Linked DNA regions of Notamacropus eugenii. The protein of the gene in region 1 interacts with the protein of each later gene in a pairwise test. Links are inferred from orthologs where the notes say so. Each region holds a gene or a part of one and is shown on either strand. Other genes may lie near its edges. The genes, in order: TMEM239 and CXCL16.

Evidence for each region.
Region 2: the proteins of TMEM239 (region 1) and CXCL16 interact in a two-hybrid assay, tested with the Homo sapiens proteins (2 studies listed by BioGRID). The two-hybrid records come from large-scale screens. The link is inferred for Notamacropus eugenii from reciprocal best matches to the Homo sapiens genes TMEM239 and CXCL16.

The regions. Positions count from the first base shown.
Region 1 is NC_092877.1:46,438,628-46,451,467, reverse strand, and holds TMEM239 (transmembrane protein 239), read left to right. Parts: upstream 1-8,201; 5' UTR 8,202-8,313; intron 8,314-11,142; 5' UTR 11,143-11,155; coding exon 11,156-11,644; 3' UTR 11,645-11,754; downstream 11,755-12,840. Other genes in the region: C6H20orf141 (uncharacterized protein C20orf141 homolog), read left to right, coding at 3,680-3,702, 6,567-6,800, 6,887-7,103.
Region 2 is NC_092873.1:79,118,171-79,130,473, reverse strand, and holds CXCL16 (C-X-C motif chemokine 16), read left to right. Parts: upstream 1-6,534; 5' UTR 6,535-6,690; coding exon 6,691-6,787; intron 6,788-7,573; coding exon 7,574-7,706; intron 7,707-8,306; coding exon 8,307-8,389; intron 8,390-10,141; coding exon 10,142-10,653; 3' UTR 10,654-11,417; downstream 11,418-12,303. Other genes in the region: ZMYND15 (zinc finger MYND domain-containing protein 15), read right to left, coding at 274-362, 553-669, 855-935, 1,624-1,776, 2,082-2,242, 2,359-2,514, 2,748-2,982, 3,945-4,518. UniProt on the Homo sapiens protein: Acts as a scavenger receptor on macrophages, which specifically binds to OxLDL (oxidized low density lipoprotein), suggesting that it may be involved in pathophysiology such as atherogenesis. Induces a strong chemotactic response. Induces calcium mobilization.

The DNA.
Region 1 (12,840 bases):
GAAGAAGCAGGCTAGAGAAATTCTACTGTTCCTTATCTCTAGCTTTCCTGAGGCCTTGTGTTTACAGTAAAGAATGATCTTAAATACATCTCTTTCAGATATTTAAGTTTACTACTTGAGGGCCATGTTCCTTTTTCTTTTTAAAGTATGGATATTGATGTACCACAAAAATAATTTATTTGAAAAGGTTTTATTGTAGGAATAAAAATGGGTAGGGAAACTTGATAAATTCTCCTTCTCATTTTGAGAAAAATAAATCTTTGCATCATAAACAATGAATATGAAAATTTTGGAGAAGCATGGGAAGACTTTTATGAACTGATGCCGAGTGAAGCAAGCAGAAACAAGAAGACAATATACACAATGAGTATAAAAATGTTAATAGAAAAAAACAGAAAAAAAGTTAAACTGAATGTAGCGCTATTGATGGGATACAAGCCCAAGCCAGGACCTATTCCCCTTGGATCAGGAGGACTTTTGTCACATTTATCTGCAAGGCCCCAGAAAGTCTGGCCTCGGGTGGGGGGCTCCTTGGATTTCCCTTCCATCTCTCTCAGTCGGAATACTTCCTATCTTCTATTTAGCATTCTTTGAATATCTCTATCTCTCCCTTTTTTCCTATTACCAGTCATTCCCATACCACCCCAATCAAGACCTCAGGATTGCCCACCTGCTTCCAGCCCAAGCTCTTCATTGTCTGATATCTACTGATTGCCTCCAGTGGCTTCCAGCCCTTGACCAGTCACCCCCTCCTTGGACTTCTCCTCAAGACCCTCCCTAAACCCTTCCTCCCATCACCCTGGACTACCAGACCACCCCCAGATCCCTCCTACTGTCATTTCTGTATTTAAGTTCCATCTTGCCTCCATGAAGGTGCTCAGATTCAATCCAGCTCAGACTCTATCTAGCTGAGATTCTATCTGGCCCGCTTGTGAATACAAGTGTTACAAATGCTTAGGCTCCTTAAGAGTCAACCCAGTAAGATGAACCTTTAATAAACTTTGTTTTCTTTGACTTTAAGAAGGCTTGAGTCGAATTCATCCGAACAGGACCTGGCGTGTCAGTATTTCGGAGTCCCCAGCACCCCTCAACCTCATCACTATTATATTGATGAAACTTGATCTAGGAGAAAACGTAAGAAAATGCACAACCCCTTCTTTTTCCAGGGGTAGAGGGCTATGGGTGTGAAAAATTGCATGTACTGTCAGAATCTCTTGGTCTGTTGCTTGGTTTTGCTAAACTTCTTTCTCTTCTCTTTATTTTTTATTCCTTGTTAATAGGGTTGGCTCCAAAGCCTGAGGGAGTGGGGAAGAATATATTGAAAGTGAATGAGATATCTATATGTACATATGTGTTTTACTTTAGCAGGGATGAAGTGTAGTACTTTCCACAGAGCTGGGCATGTGCTCTGGCCTCTTTCTGTGAGGATTTTCCCTCAAGGATAAATATGACCCAACAACTCCTGACTGGTCCCTTAATCTTTATGACTGGGGTTACATCAAAGATAACTGCTGTCAGAGTTAATGGAACCCTTGATCTCTATCCCACTCCAGCAGGTTACAAGAGTTGGAGAAAGGTTCCTATCTTCTTTTTAGTTAGCTCCTGTGTGACTTCCTGTATTTCTCTTTTTAGGATTTCCAGTAATCAGGAAGCAGAGAATTTCTTTCTTCTATCCAGTGGCAATTGTAGCCATAGCCACACAGTGAACAACTTGTGCTTACCTAGGTGAACCCAAGTTCCTGGCTGGTTTCCTCTGTCTCTGTGTTTCTTCTCTGAAAAGAAATCTGTATCCAGAAACAACAAACCTGTGAAAAAAGGACATTTTCAACCTTGATGACTATTTTGTGAATTCAAGAGCATCTGTGCCACTGAATTGATGCTAGCTGGTCACCACAGTTCTTGTAACTGCATAGCTTTTAGAGGAGGAGATGGCCACCAAACAAGAGGATGCTGCAACTGGAAAGTTTGTCAAAGTTCAAGGCAAGCTCAAACTGGCTGGGAGATCTGAATCTTATGAGTTATCTAGACAGTGCAGGCCTGAGGTGAAAGTGAAATAATCTTTTTTAGCAGTCTCGCAATGTTGTCTTTACCTTTTAGGAGAATGTCATGATGTTAACAGGTCTTTCTTGTTTAGTGTTTTAAGTTAATGCATACTTTGTGTATTTGTGTATATGTGTAGTTAAAGCATTTCTTTTGTGGTGGAGGAAATAAATAGCTTCCTATAGCTTATATCTGTTTTGAACATTGTGTATCTTTTCTGAAAAGAGAGACTGTTCATCAATTTGGGGAGGGAACATCAATGTACATTTTCTGAGAGAGGCTTCTATTAATCCCTTTTGTAGAGATCTGAGACATGAGACATACCTAGCCTTTGTGTTGAAGATTTTTTTCCCCATAGTCTTATTCTACAATCCAAAGACATCAAAAGAAACTTGATCTCCTGACTTTGCAGTTAAGCAAGCCCCACATTGAATCCAGGATCTGTGTGAGTACAGAGCCAGAGCACTCTGAATAATTACAACTCCATCAGAGTGGGATGGATTGTCTCCAGAGGTGAGTTCTTCCTTAGCCTTCAAGTAAAGACCAGATGACCAAATGTCTGACTCAGAGTGGAGGGAATTGTCTGGGCACAGGTAGAGTGAGATGGACCTGGAGGTCCTTTCCAGTTCTGAGAGTCTGAGGCTTATAGTGGTCCTAGTGTTTGATAAAGGCCCTAGGATTTTTTTTTTTTGATACCTTTGGCTTTTCATTAGTTATATTTTCCAATTATATCTCATCCCTATCCCCTCCTAGAGAGCCATCCCCTGTAGTGGTGTCATGAAATGAAGGATTACGAACATCACCTCTTATCTCCTCAGAGAAGGGGTTAATCATGCAAAAATTATATCTATCTTCTCCCTTAAATATTTTTAGTCTAGGGAAAATAATTTTTAAGTTCAAGCTGCACTCCTAATCACTATACCTTAATGTGAACAGAGTACCCCAAGCTACTTATCCAAGACTTGCTGATAAATATCAGTTCCACAATGAATTCTCATAGCAAACAGCAAATAAACCCATTGATCCAAGTGGATAGCAAAATAGAAATCAGAGAAAGTACACAAAGGACAATGTATACCAGACAATCCAGAGCAAATGAGTTCTCCTTTTGGGAGGGAGATCACTCAGCTCAATGAAGAGAGAAAAGGGCCAGATCTCAGCCAAGGGAAAATTCCCTGAAGTTTCCAGTATAGTAAGCTGGGAATAGGGACATGATCTAAGGGTCAACTCCTCTAATGTTGACTTCCTCCTACAGTCTTTCCTCCTTCAGAGACCTGAAGAGAGTTTGACATAAGAGTTTTCTCCTTTGAAGCTAGAAGCTAGAAGACTAGGTTCTCTCTTCTCTCCAGCTCTCAATTCCACCCCTTATTCAGGTGAGCAATGAGTCCCATGCAATGGTCCTTAGAACCAATGGTTACAAATGGAGCAAAAGGGATCAGGGAAATCTTTCTCTATACTTCCCCCTCTCTCCCACTACCCAGGGTTGGGCATCATTGCAGACCAAGCTAGTCCAAAGAGAGTTTGGTCACAGCTATTATGTGTATATGGGGCGGGGTTGGGGGGAAGATGACCTCTGCAGTAGCCCCTACTCCACAGGTCATAATGCCTTCCCTCTCCCCTAGCAGTTTATGTCCCCAGAATGGCAGGCCCGATAGGGAGGAGGTGAGGAGTGGGGAGGTTGGGGAGGGAGAAAAGGAACACAGGACTCCATAGTAATGACCATGTTCCATCAGAACTGGCCCAGAACGCTCTTTGCTCTCTGTACTTGGCAAGGAGCTCATCTGATGTCTCTAGGGCTGCCGGCAAACCAGGCCCCAGCTGTCTTGAGTTCATTGTCCTCTTCCTCATAACTTTAGGTCCTACCTTAACTGGGTTTTGACAATGACACTTCTGTCCCCCACTTCCTCCCCAGGGTTCTTATCTCCTCATCTCTGGTTAGCTCCTTCAGGACATCCTATTTCCTCCTATATTCCAAACTCCTTCTATCCCTGACTCTCCCCAGAAATGCTCCCCACAAGGTCTCTTAACTCTTTCTTGGGTCGCCAATTTCCCATTTCTCTCTCCCTCATCCCTGTGCCTCTATTCCTGTCTCCTAACCCTGTCTCCTCCATCTCCACCTCTCTACCCCTGCCTCCTCAGTCTCATTTGTCTATCTGTCTCTTCTCCAACCGTCTCCATAATTCCTTTCTCATCTGTCCCCCCCAGAATCATTTCTTTTATTATCTTCTCATCTCTGAGGCAGCCTACTATAATGGGCAAGACCCTGGACTTAAGCTTCAAAAGGACCTGATTCAAATCCTGCCTCAAACATTTACTAGTTGTATGACTTTGGGCAAATCATTATGCTTCATTTTCCTCATCTATAAAATAAGAGATTACACTCCATAACCTTTAAGGTTCCTTCTAACTATGAATCTATGATCTTCCCATCTCTGCCTTAATTTCCCCCTCATCCATTTCTCTTCCTCAAGTCACTATTTCTATCTCTACAATATCTGCATGATCCCCTCAGGCTTCTCAGCCACATTTTACATTATTATCTATCCCCCTCCTTCCAGATACCCTTTTCTCCCTTCTTTTCCGTGTTGCTGCTTTCTCCTGTCTTTTCTCCTTTCCCTCTGATCATTCCCTTGTCTCTGGCTTCATAAATAGAGGCTTACTATCTAGAACATGGGAGGCAAAAGCCCTTCCTGACAATGCCCTTGCCCATGATCATATCTGGAGTATTAGATTCAATTCTAAAGAACACATTTTGGGAAATGAGCCACTCACTGGCTCTACATCTTCCTTTCTCCTCTTACACTCAAGTCTTCCCCAGGATCCGGGGATCCCCTTAGCCCTCTTCTTTCTCTGTCTCTTCCTAGACATTTTCATCTACTTCTCTGGCTCCATTATTGTCATCTCTTCATAGATAACATGCATTTGTGCAGATGATACCCATATCTATAGTCATCCTTGAGAGCTCCCTTGAGCTCTAGTCCCGCTGGCAGAGACATTACTAGCAATTTTTGCCTTGAGAAAGTGTTATGAAATAGTATCAAATAAACTTTCTAAGACAAATTTGGTTATCAGGTGACAGATCTAGGATACTAAGAAGTTGTTGCTGAGGAGACCACTGCCTGAAGGGAAGGCTCATCTGAGATACAATAAGACCTAGTAAACTGGAGAAAGGGACCACCTGGTAACTTACTATTTTAAATCATGATTCTTACTAACAAGATACTAAGTACCATTGTTTCTATGCTCCTGAATGAATATAAACGCTGTCAGTGCCCTCTAAATATTGGCACCCTGGAGCAGAACTTCAGTCACCCTGCCCTAGTTACATATCTCTTCCTGTTGGACATCTTCCACAAAGTTGTTCTTGTAGCAAATCAAACTCAACCTTAACTCTAACGTTTTCCTCAAACCCTGCCCCAGCTCATTCCTCTCTAAGTGCACCATTGTTATCCAAGCAGTGTCAGAAAATGCGTGGAAAGGCATGATGGTGGCCTATCAGGAGAAGTCAAGCTCTTGTCCACAAATCCTCCATACGGACCTAGAAAATTCACCTCATTGAATCCTAAGGGAGAAACGTCTTTGGCTATAGTAGCTGTTCCCTCCAACTTACACCCCCTTGCCCCAGTTCTATTTCCTTCCTGCAAGACCCAACTCATGGGGCCTACCTAATCTCTTCTCCCTCATCCCTAGGAAAATGATTTCTTCCTCATCAAATTTCTCGTGTCACTTTGCCTGGACCTCTTAGGTCTTATCTACTCCTCCTTTAGACCATGGTTACTTGTATATATTTCCTATCTCCCCATTAGATTGTTATCTTCTTGGACCCATGATGAAAAATGTTCTCCACTCCCAGAGAGAGATCTGATGAATTCCAAGTGCAGACTGAAACATACTTTTTTTCACTTTCTTTGTGTTTCTTGCTTTTCTTTTTTTCAACATGGTTAATATGGAAACAGATTTGGCGCGATTTCACATGTATAATTGATGCCATATTGCTTGCCTTCTTAATGGGTGGAGAAGAAACAAGAGAGAGGGAGAGAATTTGAAACTACAATTATTTTTAAATAAATGTTAAAAATAATTTTTAGAAAAGATTATATGCTTCCTGAGGGCAGGGCACATGTCTTATCACCAGTGCTTCATGCAGCACTTTGTATATAGTGGGTGCTCTATCAGTATTTTTCTGTTAGATTGATTTGTTTCCTGTTTTCTCTCTCCTCCACTTCTCTTTCTCTTCGTCTGCATTCCTATCCCTATTCCCTCATTTTGGCCTGTTCCATTCCAAAGATCATGGCTTCCTGATAGGAACAAAAGAAGCAAAATAAGAACTGAGGAGTTCTTCTTCTCCTCTGTTGTCTGTTATTGCCTCTTTCTTTCTATGAATGTCTGACTTGTTCACCTCAGAATTTTCCCTAGTTCTTTGCTCCTGAATTTTCAACTTCCTAACATCTTTAAAAAAATAAAAAGGAATTCTTTTGTGTTCATCTTGCCTTACCCATCCCTATCTCTTATTTCTATTTCCCCAGGATCCCTGTCATTACAGATCGAATGGGCCGGGGCCTAGAAGCTGGCGAGGGTCCTGAGCTTTTGGAGGGCCATGGTATGCCTTTGAGGAGTTCACTCACACTCTTGGATGGGGCCCTGGGCGCCGGTATACTTGGACTTGGTGCTCGCCTTGTCCTGGCCCTGGCTGGACCAGGCATAGCTTTCCTGCTGCTGTTACTAATGATGAGTTTCCTGACTTTTGACCTAATGCATGGGTAAGCACACTGGATTCCTGGGTCTCTCTGCCCCAGAGAGGGTCTCTTTGGCCTAAGTCTCACCTTAGGTTCTCCTTTCCTTGTAGGACTCCGGAGTTGCCTTTGCCTCAAAGACCAATGTTTAGACCCCTTGGCCCAGGAGCAGGGGGCGAAGGCTCCAGCTTGCAAGAACCACTGCTCCCACCTGCCTTGAGCCAAGTCCTGGATGGATTCCTGCTCTTCACCCTTCTAGGGCTTATTTTTGGGGCCCTGATGCCCATCAGTATCTTCAGCCTTGTAGTCAGCCTAAAGGCTCTGGCCTGAAGCAAAGCCTCCGCTCTCCAGGAATCAGCAGGCTAAAAGATTCTCTTCACAGAAAATACATGAGGATTGCCCCAGCCTCTGCCTCTGAATTTCCTTTCTGGTTGTCTCTAGGCTAGGATGAGTGGTCTGGAAAGAAGACCCTAAATTATTCCAGGTCCCAGGGTTTGAAAAACCAATATAGAAGACTCTTAAGTCAGAGTAGACCCTATTCTACTCAGTAGCCTAAACCTTGGACCCTTAGATAAGTGTCTAACACCAATAGTGCTGTAAGGAGCCTATCTGATCCTTTCAGCCACACAATCAGAATCTTAGAATCTGTAGCTCAAAAGGGCCTTTAGAGATCATTTGATTCAATCCTCTCATTTTGTAAGGGAGCAAAGAAAGACCCAGGAAGGCAAAGAGGTCTATTCACCAGGACACAGGGAAAAAGTAGCAAAATTCCATGAATTTTAAGGGTCTAAGAGTTTGGGGTCATGGGTCATGGGGCAGAAGGTATAGCCCCCAATAACTTAAATCCTAGCAGAAGAATAGGAGGTTAGGGAGAACAGGGAGATGCAGAGGCCTGAGACAGCGCCGGCCTTGGTTTATGATCTCTGAGGAGGGAGGGTGTGGAAAGAGAATTCTATGGCAGGTTCAGGTTCAGCCTGCTGACTATATCAAGAAGGATGTAGGTCAGACCTTGGGCAGGCTTTTCAGCCAGGAGGCATTTAGAAACCAGGGAGTAGGGGAGACAGGGAAGAGGAGGCGAAATTCTTTTCCTTGGAGAACACAAAATCACAGAGCAAGTAAGGAGCATATTCATCTAGTCCAAACCTTTCATTTTACTAAGGGAGAAACTAAAGCTAGATCTTGGCTCAGAAAACCCCTTCTGTCTGGAGGTTCCTGACAGTTTGTGCCTTTGGTGGGCAAAAGACTCAAACTCTTTTTTTTTTTTTTAAAGATACTTTGTTTTGTTTTGCCAAAGAATGTTGGTTCCTGGACCCTAAATAAGGAAAGAGAAAAAAGACAAGGCCTAGAGCCTGGACTCCGGAGTCCAATGGGCTGGGTTCTCTTTGGCACTGTCCTACCCCTCCCCCAAAGCCCGGGTCACAATGAGGCCCCAGGGGTAGGGTGGAGATGGGGAGGCCGGGAGCCAGGTTGCAAGGATTCCTTCCCAGCTCTGTATAGGGAGCTGGCGGTGGCGACATGACCAAGGCTGCTGTGCTGGGAGGTAAGCCTAGCCCCACAATGGCTCTGGTGTATTTCTCCCTTTCCATTCCCTCTATGGTCTATCCCCTCTCCTCTCTCTTCACTCTTTTCTCCTTTTCTCTTTTCTGCCTCCTCCCTTGTCCTCTGTCTTGTGTCTTCCTGTCCCTTGCCTTGTTTTGCCATTGTCCCTTCCCGTCTAGACGAGAGGAATGCTGTAAGTATACAGATATATTTAGACTCCAGCAAAGTATTTGACAGTCTCTTATGGGACCCCTGGGGCCAACACAGAAAGAAGCTGCTAGGTGATAAAACTGGTGGATTCGGCAGGGGGAACCTTTGGTCATTCAGCAGTCCTTGTGGACTTGGGTTTCTATCTCCAGCCAAGTGCCCCAGGGATCTGTGCTATTTAACATTTTTATCAAATCTGATGATGTGTGAAGCTCAGAGAGATAGCTAACCTTGGGTGAGAAGGTCAGGACACACAGGACTCTAGGCAGTCCTAAGTGTGGGCCCAGATCTAAGCACACGGAATTTAATAAGAATAAACATAAAGTTCTACACATTAGGTTCGACACATCAGTTTCTTTAGTATAGGACAGGGGAGTAACGGCTAGATAGCTAACGTTCCATTGAATCCATCCTCATCAATGTGGATTGTCCCATGTTGGGACCCCATTAGGATCCATTCTCATCCATGTGTATGGATCACAAGTCATCCATGCATGCCTATCATAAAGAAAGGCTTCTTAAAATCAGGGCTATCCAGATGTGATGGTGAGTTCTAATCTGAAGTCTTCACGCAAAGGTTGAATGGATGGCCACTTGTCAGCCATGTTGTAGAGAGAATATTGTTCAGTACAGGTTGGAAGAGACACCCCCAAAGCCCCTTCTCACTCTTATATCCTATGATTCTGTCCCCTTCCCAACCCCATCTTCTATCTGTCAGGTTTACACTTCTTTTCTCTTGGTGGTTTCCTTTCTTCTCCCCTCTCTTGTTCACTCCCCTGATACCCATCTCTGCTATCCTCTCCTGGACCCACTTCCCTAGTTCTCAACCCTCCTGACTCCTCCCTTTCCTTTCTATGTCTTTGGTCCCTTCTTTGGTGCACTCTCCTACCTCCCATCTCTTCCCTTGTCTCCTTCCTTATTCTCTTCTGTCTCAACTTCTGTAATGAAATGCTGCTTTCTTAGAGTAGTTTAATCAGTTTCTAGGAACCCAAAACCCCACGATCCCTGGAGGAACAGCTAGTGGGTGGTTTATCCTGAGTCCTTGGGTTTTCCCTACATTTTGGCCTTTCAAGGAACAAAGCCCAATCAGAGTCTGACAAGTCATCAAGGAAAGAAGTATCAGAGCAAACCTATATTGAGAGGTAAAGGCAATGGCTAGACATTACATCCAGTCTACACTTGCTACCTCTCCCTAGCCTCTGTCTGTGAAATCCTTTTCTTTCATCTGCTTTCCCAGTCATCTGGGGCCTGGTTCCAAGTTTCTGCCAATACTTTAAGGATCTGTAGCTACTTTCTCTGCTGATATAGCTGATACAGACTGCAACCCAGACCTTAATAGACAGTCCCTTTAGACTGCTGTGTTCCCAAACATTCAAGCCCTGGCCAACCTTCTCAGGTGATGAGCCTCTCCACGGTTTGCTAGAGAGGGTTTGCTTTCTTCTTCTCTAGTCTTCCAGAGTCCTGGTTCACCTCCCTGATGGGACATTGGAGGAAAACTTCTGAACTCTCAACTAACCCCAGCAGCAACAGGGATGTAGGGTGGTTGCTCTAGGTTAGAAGTCTACAAAAGATGAAAAATCTCAGCCTTCAGCCTTGGTTTCTCAGGCTTCATTGACTCCTGCCTCAGAGGAAGAACCAGGGAACCTTTGCCCTGGAGCCCCAAAGCTTTTACTTTTCCCTCCTTTCCTCTTGCTTGATTCTCCCTAAGCTCTCTGATCCTCCTCTGTACACACAGACACACACACACACTCACAACACTACAGATTACACTTTAGATTTGCCTCCAAGTCTCTCCACTGACCAAATGTTTCTAAAGGTCCCCAAGTTAGAGATCTTGAACTTAGGGCTGGGTGGTTGGAGACAAGTAAGGTTCCAAGAAAGACCTGGGGATTTCTCATTCCCTGACCTCTAATGCCAACTGTTTCCAGGTGAGGATCCTGAGACCAGGTCATGTACAGGCCCTTTTTCCAAGCTTCCAGCCAGGGGCCAAATCATGACCTTTTCTTCACACCTGGGCTTGGCCACTAGCAGCTCTGCCCCAAGAGGTCCCAGCTCCCTCAGCCTCCTCTACCCTGGTGTGTCCAAGAAACTAATGAAACTTCTCCTCCCTCCTACTCCTCCAAGAAAGCAAGATTCCCCCCAGGGCATTTCATTACCAGAAAGTTCTTTCCCCTTTCCCTTTCCTATCTTCTCCTTTCTCTCTCTTCTCCTTCTTCCTGAACCTCACTACTTTGGGATCACTTCCTGTCACTCCCTGGATACTTTGGGACCATAAACCTCTCCCTAGAGGGTGCTTTAGGATCATTCCTTATGGCTTAGAATCAACCCCTTCCAGTCCCTTATTCCCCGAAGGCTTTAGAATCAAGCCCGCTCAAATTTAGAGACTCAGCTGTCACTCAGCTCTCCCTCAAGTTCTTTCAGACATGCCTCTTTCTTTACCATTCCCTTCCGGTAGGTGCTTTGAGATCCTCCCCAGGTACCTTGGCCTCATAACCTGCCCCTCTTGCTTTCATTCAGTTCCCTGATCTTTGGGAATCTGCTTCGCATAGATGCCTTCCGAACGCCGGTCTTCCTCACTAGGTGCTTGGGGGTCACAGCCCTTCCCATTACCACTCCCCCGCAGGTGCACCGGATCGATGCAGCGGGCCAGAACCGAGGGGTCAACGGACCAGGCGGGGGCGGGAGAAGGCTTGAGGAATAACTGGCGAAGCTGGGCTCTTTGGCGAATTTGGGATCAGTGGTGGGAGGGCCCAGGTGGAATTCGCCGACGTTTGCCATCTTGGTGTTCATCATCCTGCTGGTGGGTGCCTTTGCAGCGGGTCCTGTGGTTGCTTGAATCCAGCCTCTACCTGCTGCTGTCCCTGGGTCTGTGCCACGCCCTCTTCACCACAGGATGCCACCTACTACGCTCGCTCTGGCCCGTGGTGGCCACGATCTGGAAGCATCTACTGCCAGCCCTGCTGCTCATGGCCTTGAGTGCCCTGCCAGCCCTGCTCTTTGCTGCTTCCTTCCTACTGCTCCTCTCCACCCTACTCAGCCTGCTGGGGCTACTGACTGGCATGTCCCGGCCTGGACCTGTCATCAGCCTCAATGGCAGCCTCGACCCTGGCCCCAGATCCATCTAAGATAAGGGATCACCATCTGCCCCCTAACACTGCCCCCAATCCAGCCTTGGCCTTGAACCCGTCCTCAACCCTACCCAATACACGGGACGGGCTTTGCCCCCCTGCCACCGCCCTGGCCTGACTGTCTGCTCTGTCTAGGTTGGATTCAGAACTCCCCTGTTGCTCCCTTTCCTTCAGCTTCCTGCCTACTCTGGCCCAATCAAACCCAGGAATCCCCACCCTGTCCAGTCTCTAAGCCTAGGACCTATCCTGACTTCCTGGTCTTTTGAGTCTTAGAAGTCCTGACTTCCCTAGATTTTCATCCAATAACCCCATATCACTTTCACTGGACTCAGGAGTCCAGAGTCCTGAATTTGGAGTCAGAACACCTGGGTTTAAACCCTCTGTTCCTTACCTGTGTGACTTTACCTCCCTGGGCCCTGGATACCTTATCAGTAAAATAAGAAGGCTGGCCTAGGTGATCTCTAAGGTCCCTTCCAACCCTTAATTGTATGACACAATGACCTTTTCCCTTCCACATGGTCTCAGCTTATCTCAATTCAACTCAGAGATTCCCACCCTTTGGTCTGTGGCCTCCCACCTGAGCTACTCTCAGAAGCCTCTGATGAGGCTCTGGAGGGGCCAGCTGGGCTTTGGGTTAGATGGGAGAAAAGTTATTTCTGTCAAGGCATCCTCTTCTTCCCAGAGGCAAAGGTGAGGGAAGTAAAGGCTACAAGAAGGATGGGGCTCTAAGAAATCTGGACAGAACTGTGGCCCACCATATCCTTGTACACTGGACTTTCCCATTTAGAGTGAGAGTAAGTGGATATAAATGGATGCAACAACTTCAGGGCCCAATCCAGAGTCCCGTCCAGAACCTAACACTCCAGACTTGAGCGTGAGGAGTTGTGCATAATAGGCCAGTATGAGAAATGGGTATGACTCCAAGTATGATGGCCTGAGTAAGATAGTGTATGGGGATATATGGGGGGTGGGGTAGTTATGAGAAGCCAGGTGTGAGGGTTTACATACAATGGGAATGGTTATGAAGGGCCAAATTTAAGGAACTGGAAGAACCAAGTGGAAGCATGTTCTCCTGCTTCCTTTTATCAGCCTCCAAGTTGAGGTTACTCTGACCTCTGTATTTTTGTATTTCCTCCCCATGGCTCTTCTTTCCATGACATGTTTCAGGATTCTTGCCGATGGTCTTCAATCCC
Region 2 (12,303 bases), on another chromosome or scaffold:
AACACCCTTGTCCTCTCCCCACCTCCATCCAGTTCAGTTCCTTCTGAATGCCCTAGGTATCTGCCTCCTCAACTTCCCTTCTTGATCCTAAGGGATAATGGTCAAATATTCCTACCCCTTTTCCAAGACCCCCAGGTGTCTTTTTTTTTTTTAGCTTACTCTCAACAAAGACTCCAATCATTCAGCCTCCCAGAACCTCCCTCTTCAGGGACAGCCATCTGCCTAGTCCCACCTAGTCCCATCCACCCCATCCACTTTCTTCTTGGGTCTCACCCAAAACACCATGATGAGATCAAACTCCTTCCCAGCCTCTACCACATGGATTTTCAAGGACTGTTTGTTCTGGATGTTCAGCTCTGGGACTAGGGGTATATGTGGAAGGGGAGAAAGGGAGGGACAATTTATTAAACCGATAATCCCTTAACCCTGTCCCACTTTTCAGCCCTCTGGTTCCCTACCTTTTCTTACCTCAGTCTGACCCCAGCCCTCTCCACTGTTTCCCCCACCTGTAGTCCCTCCCAACTCCACCCATCTTTTCTGTTCCTTTCTTACAAGATTGGGGCACCAGATGGGTTATAACATAGTAAACAGTCAGTGGGTAGGTAAGGAGAACAGCCAAGGGAGAGTCCAGGCCCAAGCCACGCCATGCATAGTAATCTTGCCAGGAACCTGGTGGTGGTGGGGAGATGAGGAGGAGTGAATGGATAGGTAGATGAAGGCTTGTTCCCTTTCTACACACTCCTCCCCACTAGAGTACTCATTGTTCTTAGGGACTCAGACAGCAAGACCTCTGGCTCCTGTCTTCTCCATCTTCCTTCCTCCTTTCAGAGGTGAAGGTATTTAATTCTCCTTACCAAAAGGGCCTCGAGGTGGATCAGGAGGCACTGGAGGCATCAAGGGGGGTCCATCTCCCTGAAGTAACTGATAAGGATCTCCTGAGAGAAGAGGTAGGTAGGAATGAAGGAGGGATCCCTATTAGCCTCGCCCTCCTTATCCCTTGGAGGCAGGGGAACTCTAGGCTGGTGTCTCTAGATCTGAGAGGAGGGAGAGGGACTCTGATGAATCATCATCACAGAGGAGCTGATCTGAAATTACACTTCGAGGCATGTGAATAGGAACCAGGAGGTGGGAAAGGGGCATAGGGGAGGAAGTGACTAAGGGGGAGAAGGTGCTGGCTTGTAGAGATACCTGGGGACAGAATGGCCTTGAGGTGGCCCTTGTTTGTGTACATATATGTGCTTCAAGTGGATTTGGAGGGAAGCTAAGACATTTTCTTGGAACTCCTCTCCCTTCCCCTTTGGTGTGTGATCTACCCCACCCCCATTAAAATGTCAGCTCCTTGAGGGCAGGGAATAGTCTTTCTTTTGGCTCTGATTTGTATTCCCAGCCTTAGTACAATGCCTGGCACTTAGTAAGAACTTAATAAATGCTTGTTGCCTGTTATGTAGGACATCCTCTGGCTCTGCCTCCATCACCTCCCTGTAATCCCCTCCCACATTTCTGTGGTTGTATCCCCTATAGCCTTTGGAACAGGATAACTAGAAGCAAGGCTGGGAGGAGGTGATAGGAAAGAATGGGACACAACACTCCCCCCCCCCAAGCCTCCCAGGATGCCCTACTAACCACTGAGGAGGAGGCTGAGGGGAGGCCCATTGCCTGGGGGGTATCCTGGGGCAACAGGACCTGGGAGGAGCATGCTGAGTTGAGTCCAGTACCCTCGTGTAAGGCCTCGGGAGGCCAGGAATGCCTCCTTGTTAAACATCTCGCTTGTTACCTCTGGAGGAGCAGAGATGGAGGTCAGGGTCCAGATATTTGTCTTCCTGGTCCCAGGAAGTCCCAGGTCCCAATTTTGACACACTAACCCAGATGCTAGTGTTTTGTACCTGAGTGCCCACCCAAGACACCCCTCTTCTGGCCTCCAGCCTCAGAGTATCCCCTTTTTCTCCCCACCAACCCTCCATCATTTTATTTTAGGGGCCCAGCATCTTTTTCCTTTCCCAGTTCCTTGGTCCTTTCCATACTCTCTAAAGGCCTAGTTCTTGGTCCCCCAGGCCCCTCAGGGGCTCAGGTATTTCTGGTACCAGCAGTGTAGGTGAAGGGCAAGGCTGCCAGCTCCCCAGCCCGCCCCATGAAAGCTGCAAGTCTTGGGCACCAGAATCGATGGCTCACATCATCTGGCCTGCGTCGCCAGTCAGCCCAGACACAGGTTTCCCCACAGTACAGGACTGCACCACACTGGGGGCTGGAGGAAATAGGACCAAGGGTAGAAGAGTTATGGGGAAGGACAAGACAGATAGCCTAACATACCTGTCCCTCTCCACCTTCAGTGTCTAACTCCTACTCATGACATCTGCTCACCAGGGCATCAGCTTCACTTCAAAACTGTGTCTGTGACACACATGGCAGGCACGGGCACGGAGAGAGGCAAAAGTGAAGCCAGGACGGGGGCCCCACGTCCTCATTGGGGCTTTGGCTAGCTTCACCCCAAGCCTTGGGACCAAGCTTTCTAGTTCCCTGGATAGATAGGAAGATGAACTTCAGCATGAGGCCCCAGCCCTCCCCCCATCAGGAGCTGAGGCATGCAGCATCCAGGTCCCAAGCTCCCTTTTCAGTCCCTATATTCCTTAGGGACACAGGTATACACACCCTCCATACCCTTCTGAAACCAATGCATTTAGGACCCCATGTTTCCCCTTTCTCCTTCCTCTGCCATTTTCCACACCCTTTTGGGACCCACATCTCTGTACCGATGTAGCTGGGGGTCTCCCACTGTGAGCTGTCGAGGTCTTCTAGGGTCTCCAGCTCCCATGGGGCAGGCCATACTGTGGCAGAGGAGAGTATAAGCTCTTTGGGCCAGGCCCTCAGCCCCAGTGACTCTGCCTCCACTCCCTTGGGGTCCACCCATGAGGAGGTCAATGCCCAGGATAGTGCCATGTTCATCGGTCACCAGAAGTAGGCAGGCCAGGTGTAGGGGGGCAGCATCTGAGAAAAGAGGGGAGAAGTCAGATGAAAGGGAAGGAGAGTTGAGGTTCAAGGAAAGGTAGAGCAGATAGAGGTAGGGGTAGGGGTTCAGGGAAGAGGGGGAGCCTGAGAAGAGTTTTCCCATATATAGGGTAAATTCAGTGGAGTTGGGAGTGGGATTGTCCATACTCATCCCCTACCCCACACATCTTGCACATTTAAATCTCTTTGAATTCAACTGGAAATATTAAGAAATACATTTTTCTCCAGGCTAGTCCTTTTCAGATTTACCACAAGGAAGAAAATTTTATCACTACTTAAACTCCTCAGGAAATAATGACCTCCGCTAAAAACCTTTCTCCCCTTTCTCTTAAGCCCAATCTTTTTCTTTTAGGAAAATGTGAAAAGGATAGAGAAAGAAAGCTAAAGGTCCCAGAAAATGGGTTAAGGATGGTCACCATTTTTAGGAAAAATATCTCAGATCTAGTAAAGAACATTGCTTCCTCCCCATCCCCTGAAGAGATCAGAGTAATGCCCCACTTAAGGACACTACTCTTGGTGTCCATTATCCCAAAAGCGATAAGGGAATCTATCCAAGGAAGAGATCTTTTTTGTTTGCTTTAGGTAACCTGGGACAAGCAGGGGGGAGAGATCTTGAGGAAAGTGATTGTTTCAATTCTCCAAGAACTTTCCTGAAAGATTAAGTAACTATTTTTCTATTTGTTGATATGAAATGTTAACCCATTTTAAATTTAACTACATTTTTTTCATATTGTAAAATGCTCCTCATTCAGGATTCACATAAGTGTTACTTCAAAATATCTTCTATTGGAGAGAAATGTCCAAGGGCATAAGAGAACTATGTCAATGTGAATATTTCTCTCTCCAAGCAGAATAGAGCAAAGATAGGAAAAGAGCCACTCTTGGTGGAAAGTGAATAGTTGGATCAAAACTGGAAGTGAGGTGGTATTTGGGTCTCTCACCACCTCTCTTTCCCTTTCTCTTCTCTGGCCCCATTTCCTCCTCTCCTCCATCCTCTCTGGTGTCCCCTCCGCTGCTGTCCTCTCCTGCCTCTTCCTCAGCATCTTCCAGTTCCCTAGGTGTCTCAGCATCCTGGGTAGGCTCCCGGCTGGTGGTGGCCTGCTCTCCTTCCTCCTCCAGTTCACCTTCTTCTCCACCTGCACCTTCCTCCTCCCCATCTTCTTCTTCCTCTCCATCTTCAAGGCTAACAAAGCTAACATAGGGACTGAGGTCTCTGAGGCAGAGAGGGGGCTCATCTCCCAAAAGACGGGCAGCACCCAGGCCTGGTCCAGGTCCCTGCTTAGCACCTTGCCCCAGGCTGATACCCACACTACGGTTGGGCAAGATGTGAAGGACCCAGAGGGCAGGGTCTGAGGGCAACCGTCTCACCTGGGCTTCCATCAACCTTGATCGACCCTCAGGCCCATGCCCCCCACCCACCCCAGTTCCACGCTCTGAGGCAAACTTGCGGAACCAGACAAATAGAAGGGCAGCAAAGTCGAGGAACTCATCCCGATAACCAGATACAAACTCCATGATTTCTAGGCGAGCAAAGGAGTTGAGTCACAGAGAAAGGAAAGGAGCACAGGAACCTCATGTGAGGGACTGGAGTTAGGGCAGGAAAGGATGGGGTGAAGATAAGGAAGTGAGGACTATGATTTAGGGCTGAGTTGGGCTCTTTAGGGTTAAAACTAAAGAGTGGATAGGGAAGAAGGCCATGGATAGGGTCTTGTGGATAGTGGCTGAAGAGGCAAGGGCAGAAGGAGGAGTTAAGGAAGGAGGGCTATGGTTTAGCGTTAGACTAAATGGGTTACCATTCAGAGTTGGGCGTGGAGGCTGTAAATAAGGGAATATTAGCTGTTGAGAATAGGGAATAGGAGCTGGAGATAGAGGTTAACAGGGATTGAGTCAAAACCAGAAAGTGAATCTGGGATGGAGATTATTTCAGTTGGGGTTGAGTTTTTTTGTTTGTGGGAGGAAAACTGGGACATCACCAGTAAAGAAAGGTGAATTTCATAACGGCTTAAAATCAGAAAATAAAAGGAAAAGGGCCAGGTTGCCCATGGTCTAGGTCAGATTTGGGTTGGATGGGTATGTATATGCTTGAGGGGCTCTATCTTTCCATTTCAATTTCTCCTCCACCCTGTCTCCCTTACCTGCAGCGGCCGTCTCTGTTCGAAGGTAAATACTGTGGCAGCGTGGGGGAGGGCTGTGACATCACCTCCCCCCCCCCACCCCCACAACCTAGACCTGGCACTCTCGCGCAGAACGCCCCACCCCCATTCAGAGGCTAGACTCCCGCTACAGCCGAGTCCGGAATCTTCGTGCGCCAACACTCAAGTACCTTTGCTTCTTTTTTCATTTTTAAAAATGTCTTATGAACGCACTATTTTCTACACAATACATAACAGTAGCCTCCCTTTTCCCCTTGCACTATCCCTTCTTAACATTGCAAAAAAGAACCAAACCACCCAACAGTCAACCAAAAGCGTTTGATCCCATAACTTTGATTGAGTTTGTAACATTCTGCACTTACAGCCCTCCAATCCTCTACCAAGAGGAAAGTAGAGTGTTCCGTCATTCGTTATCTGTAACTAATATCGGCCTTTAATAATATTGACATTTGATCATTAGCAATCACTGCATATATTATTGTTTGGGGTCTGCTTTCTTTTTATCTGCGGGTTCATACATGTCTCCCCAAATTTCTGAGGATCTCATATTTATCCTTACTCAAGGCACAATACTTTTATATTCATATACCACCTTTACAAATATTCCCCTAATCAATGAACACCTACTTTGTTTACAAGTTTTTGCTACCACAAGGGGGGCTGTTATGAATATTGATACATATGGACTCTTTCGGTCTTTGACTAGTAGTGGAGTCGCTGGGTCAGAGGGCATATATACTGAGTTCAGTGACCTCTCATGTGATTCCGAATTGTTTTCCAGAATGACTAATAAGCTAATTCCCAGATGAAGCAACTAACTTGCAGTATAGCAACCCTTTCACACTATTTCCATCTTTAACCGTCTTTGCCTAGCTGAGAAATGTAAGGGGACACTTCAAAGTTCCTTCGTAGTTGTCTCTTCTCTCAGGGAAGCAGCTAAATTCTGAATCTGTATTTCTTCTCCCCAGTCTTGTGAGCGCTTGTTTACTGGCGCCTACCACAGAAAAAAGGGGAAGTGAAAGTACCTTGGGTCACCAGGCTCTGTCTGCAAAGAATCCCAGACTCCTTGTGGCACCCCTTCGATGCCCCTACTCCCTGCCCTAGCCATCTTTCCAGGCACTCCAGTCACAAACTTGGGGAAAACAGTGGGAATTTTCCGGGCTGTGCAACACCAAGTTTCGGCTCCATCGGAGTCGATTTCCATTTCTTTGCCTGTCCCTGGATGTTTGTGTTTCCTTTGCTTCTCAAAATCTGTCTGCCTTGTGGTATTTCCTGCCCTCCCACGCCATCCTCTTCCTAGTTTGGGAGGCAGATATCGTCACTTTTTTTCCCCACCTTCTACTGAAACCAAAAAGGATTCAATACCCCAGCCTTACTGAAATACAGGCGACTTTTAAGTCAGAGCTTTTTTTCTCTGAACTTTTCCTCTGGAGAGCCAGTCACTGAACGTTTCCGGAAGCGGGGACCAGTGAGAGATAACCTATTGGTTCCACACCCTTCAGTACTAGCCCAGTCGTTTGGGAAGCCAGAGCTCATGCCTGGTAGCTCTGAGGTAGCCGTAGCTGGGCACCGGAGCATGAGCGGATTCTGCACAGTTTCGTTGGTCTTGTTTCTGAAGCTGATCCAAGGAGGTTTGAGGGGATGGCGAATGGCTCGGGTCCATTTCGGGGACGTAGAGTTCATGGATTGAAAAACGAAGTGGGAACGAGAGGGAAAGGAGGAATTGCCGGGAGATTGAAGTGCCCTCGTAATTTGGGGTCGGACCCCAAGTTGGACATTTTGAAGTCCAAGGGGAAGGGCTCATGAGGGGGCGACCTACCGAGCTCCTATAGGCAGAGGAGCAGGAATTAGCATACCTATTGTGGCTGGTGCGGAGGCAAAAAGTAGTGTATGGTGCTAGGACTAGGGCGGGGCCGGGAAAAGAGAGAGAAAGAGAGAGAAAGAGAGAGAGAGAGAGAGAGAGAGGGAGGGAGGGAGGGAGGGGGAGGGGGAGAGGGAGGGAGAGAGAGAGAGAGAGAGAGAGAGAGAGAGAGAGAGAGAGAGAGAGAGAGAGAGTGAGTGTGAGAGTGTGTGAGTGTGTGAGTGTGTGAGTGTGTGTGAGAATGTGTGTGTGAGTGACTGAGAATGCGAGTGTGTGTGAGAATGTGAGTGTGAGTGTGAGCGAGAGTGAGAATGTGAATGTGTGTGTGTGAGTGAGAGAGAGAATGTGAGAGTGTGTGTGTGTGAGAGTGTGTGTGTGTTGGGAGAGGGGAATATCCTCAGCTTCGGTGTTCTTCCAGGTTACTGGTGTTGATTAGCAGGATACTTGAATTCTGGGGATGGATACACTGGGATGTGGCTGGTTGTGGTCCCTGTGGAAGGAGCTGGAGAAGTGACTGTCACGTACCTGCGTCGTTACTATTCTCTCTCTCCTTTAGTTATTGGAAATCAGGGCAGCATTGCAGGAAGCTGCCCTTGTGACTCGAAGCTACCTGATTCCCCGAGTCCTGCACTGTGGCAATTACTCACTACTAATCTACAGGGATATGAAAGTTGCCACAAATATATAAGGTAGGACCCACCCTATCCCCCACTTTCCTCCCCATCCCCAACTGCTTGCTTGCTTCCAACACACCTTTCCTGGCTGTGTATTTATTTCCAGGAATCCATAGTCCCCAGGGCTTAGGCTCTCTTAAACTCTGCCCTGCCCCTGTCTAGGTAAAGTTTACCTTGCCCAGTAGCTGGGGAATTCCAAGCTGTTTCATTGCTTAGGAATGAGGAAGGTAATTTGGAACTGAAAGTGAAAAAATAAATGTAAAAATGAAAACAGTTATAAATATCTATTTTTTCAGATCTAGAAAAATTGAGCCATATTATATATACAGTTGAATTTTTAAGATGTCAGAAAATAATCAAGTTGATCATTTCTCAATGTGTTTTGTGACCATATTGATATTTCTTTCCCCTATATTAAAGTCCTTTCACCTCTATGTAACTAGCAAAAACTTTAAGTTTCCACAGTGATTTCAGGAAATAAAAATTTTTCTTAAAAAAAAAAAAAAGTAATGAGGAAGGGTCAACTGAGCTAGATTTCTAGCAGTGTAAAAAGGGGAAAAGTGAAACTTCAGAATTGGGAACTGAGGCAGTACACCTTCTGCAATTCCTAACCAGGTTCCACCTGCCCAGAAAAACTCTGTGTTCAAGCTTCAAAAACACCTGGGGCCAGAGGCTAAGGACTTGTTTCGACAACCATGGTGAGAGTCCATCTTCCCCCCTTTTCCCATTATTAACATTATTTCTCTTCAGCTTTTTCTTTATTATGTATTCTAATTTTCAAAGAGTTCCATCACCTCTTGACCTCAGTTCTTTCTTTTCTTCCCATCAGTTAACTATTCCCTCAGCTTCCCCTTTCCTGTGTCTTCCTTTCTGCCTCCTCCCAAGCTATTTATCTTCCTTCCATTCTCTCCTCTTATCAGTTAAATTTAATAAACATTTGCTGAGCAATTCAACAAGCATTTACTGAAACCCTACCATGTACCAGGCGCTATGATTGAGGAGACAAAAAATGAAACAGTCCTTGGACTTACATTCTACTGGTGGAAACAATATTCGGAATATAAAAAAATTTTAGGGGAGAAGGCACTAACAACTGGGCTGATCAGGAAAGTGGGCAACTGAGGTGGTTTTTGAAGGAAGTTAGGCAGAGATATGGGCAGCTAAGAGGCACTGCAGGTAGAGTGCCAGGCCTGGATTCAGGAAGACTTCTCTTCCTGAGTTCAAATCCAGCCTCAAGGCACTTACTAGCTGTATGACCCTGGGCAAATCACTTTACCCCATTTGCCTCAGTTTCCTCTTCTGGAGCTGGAGATGGCAATGGCAAACTACTTCAGTACTTCTGCCAAGAAGACCTCAAATAGGATAACAAAGAATTGGACACAAATGAAAAAAACTACTGACTGAGGACTGAGATAAAAGTTTGGAGTTCAAAAAAGAGGTGAGGGCTGGTTTAACAGATCTGGAAATCATCTGAACAGAGATAATAAATTATCCTATGGTAGCTGATTAGATTAAAGTAAGAGAGACAGAGAAAAAGAAGAGGGAAGAGGACAGAGCCATAGGGGTACATCAAGGCAAAGGAGAAGGGACATAGATGATGATCCAACAAAGGAAAATGAGGCACAATCACCTAGTCACAGGAGAATAAGGAAAGCATAAAAACCCAGGGAGAAGAGGGTACTATCAGTGATTCCAACAGTGCCAAATGTTGAATAGGTCAGGAAGGATAAGGACTAAAAAAAAAGCCCTTAGATTTAGCAGTTAAGAGATTGTGGGCGACATGGAAAGATTTACATGATTCGATGAAGAGTGAAGTAAAATAAAAAATCGATATATAATATATAATGATTACGACGATGCAAATGAAAGGAATCACCAAAAAAAAATCAAAAGGGATTGTTGCAAATGGCTCCAAAGAAAAGACATGACGTACTCCTATTCCTCTGCAGATGTGGAAGATCCACAGATGTAAAATATAGTATATATTTTTAGCCTAGTTTGGTTTGCTGATTTTTTTCCTCTTCTTTATCTTAAAAAAAAAATGTTATTTCTTATGTGGAACAGCTCTCTAGGAGGGAGAGGGGAAATACTGGGAGAAATTCTGAGAATGTAAAAAACAAAAGATAGCAATAACATTTATTTTTTAAAAAACTGGGGGAAAAAATAATATTAGCTCTTTTAGTATAAGTTTTTGCTTTTTATTGTATCTCCAAGCTTAGCACAGCTCCTTACATAGTAAACTCTTAATAAATGCTTGTTGATTGGGGAGGAAAAAGATGGTTGGCAAGATTGGATTAAGTAGTTATATTCTTTACATCTATCCCCTCTTTTAAGTCTTCTACTTAACTCTCTTACCCACCCCTCTCTCTCTACTAGATCTTTCACTTTAATTCCCTATTTCTTCATGTTTCTCTCCAGCTCGTCAGATTTCTCTCATCTTGTTTTCCCAGAATGTGGAATCGCCAAGACATACAAATCTGGATATCAGGGCACCCAGGATAATTACCTTACTACCACGATCCAAAGCCTGACAGGACTAAACCGATTACTCCCATTCACCACCACCGAACCATCCTCCCAGACCAACCAGTCAACAAATACCCAGTCTAGAGAAATGGGGAATAGATATCTCAATGACACCACCAGTGCTCCTCTGGAGAACAGCAGCATGGCAAACATGAAGGGGGAAGCCAAAAAGGGACAAATGGACCAGATGGGTACCTCTGCCACCATACCTATTTTGTGCCTACTTGGGATTGTCTTTGGTCTTACTGGAGTTCTTGCTTATGTCTGGTGTCGGAAACAAGAACCTCCAAAGAGGAACCCCAAAGGTAAACATGGGATCCATGTGTTTTGGTCCCATAAATCTCAGTTGCATCAAGGACCAAGCGAATCTGCCCTTCTAGATTCAGCTCCCTTTTCAGCCCCTGATCCTTCTCAGAGGGTGCCTAGTATACTATAAAAAGCACTGCATTTAGAGTTGGAGGATCTGGGTTCAAATCCTGACTCTGCCATTATATGACTTTAGATCTCCATTTCCTCATCTGTAAAATAAGGGCCTTGGATTAGACGACCTCTAATGTCCCTTCTAGCTCATATAATGCTATGAAATAATTTTCTCTTTCTGGGTCTTATTCTCGTCTGTACAGCAAAGGGTTTAAAGACCCTTCCAAATCAAAATCCTATAATCTAAGTGGCAGAATCAGGAGCTGAAGCCAGATTTTCTGACTCAGAGTACAGTGCTCTATCCATTATACCACAGTCTCCTATCCAATCACTTTACAGAAGAGGAAACAGAGTTTTAAGACTCAATTGAGATCATCCTTACTGATGAAGGAGCACCTAAGCTGGTTAGTGGCAGAGTTAGGTCTGTGACTATGGTCTTCTCACTTGAATTTATGGCTTTATCTTGAGTGGCACTACAATCACCACATGCTGAGTGCCTACTGTATGCAGAGCACCATTTGGACCCCTGAGAACTTAAAGAAGCCACAAGACAGTATTTGATTTTGAGAGGCTTACTATCTGAGCAAACAGAAGATATCCCTAAAAAATCTACTTAAAAATACAAAGATTAGCCAAGTGCCAAATGGTAAAGGTAGTCAATGTAGCACAGATGAGGCCAGTTGTGAAAGGCTCCACACATGACTTGAGAAGGACTTTTGAGAGGGCATAGAGAGCAGGTACAGGAACATTTTAGGATGAATTATTTGAACAAAGACAGAAGACATATTCAAAGATCCATTAATAGGCCAGTTTTGTTAGAGCAGAGGAAAGGAATGGTGGGAAATAAAGTTGGAGAGACAGGCAGGGCCCAGGCTGTATAGGGTTTTGTCACCTAATTCCACAGTCTTCAGGAATAGTCCGCACTACGCACTACCCACAACTCCCATTCTCTTCAGGGATCCAGCCTTCCTTTTCTCTCATCTTTTTAGGTTTTGAACTGATAATCCCTTGTGAGACAGATCCACCTGACTCCTTGATAGAAACCATGCTTCAGCCATTTGAAAACAGCAAGGCAACTATTCTACAATAATATTTGCTTCTCCCATTGAATCTAAAGATTTAGTATTCATTTCATTAAAAATGATTATTTTATAATTTCTGAGTCTATTCTGCAATCAATATCTCCTAGAAATCCTTTTTTCTTTCCCCAAGTGCATCCCATCAATATATCCCCCTACATTGCTCTACTCTCTAGGGTGTACCTAACCCAAGTCAACTAATTTATTCTTCTTGCCCCCCGACTGTAGTAGAAAGGAACTGCCCTGCTCCTTTTTACCCCTCACATGACCTTGAACTCCACTCTCCTACTATTCTCTCAGCTTTTCTCCTTCTACTCCCTCCCTAATTAATTAGATGCCCTTATACCTTATGATGCATGGAAAATTTAGACTTATTGAAAACAGTCAGATCTACTTGCCCATTTTGTATTTCTGAGCTGGACCAAAGTAGCAAGGAGAATCCCAAGTATCATGGGAAAATGGAAATGTAAGGTGGAAGAAAGGAAATGCATATTAGGATCTCCAATTTCTGTTTTAAGAGGTAATCTGTGGACACTTCTTGGGTGAAGTCAGTCATCTTTTTTCTTTCCCATGGTTTTTCTTAATGG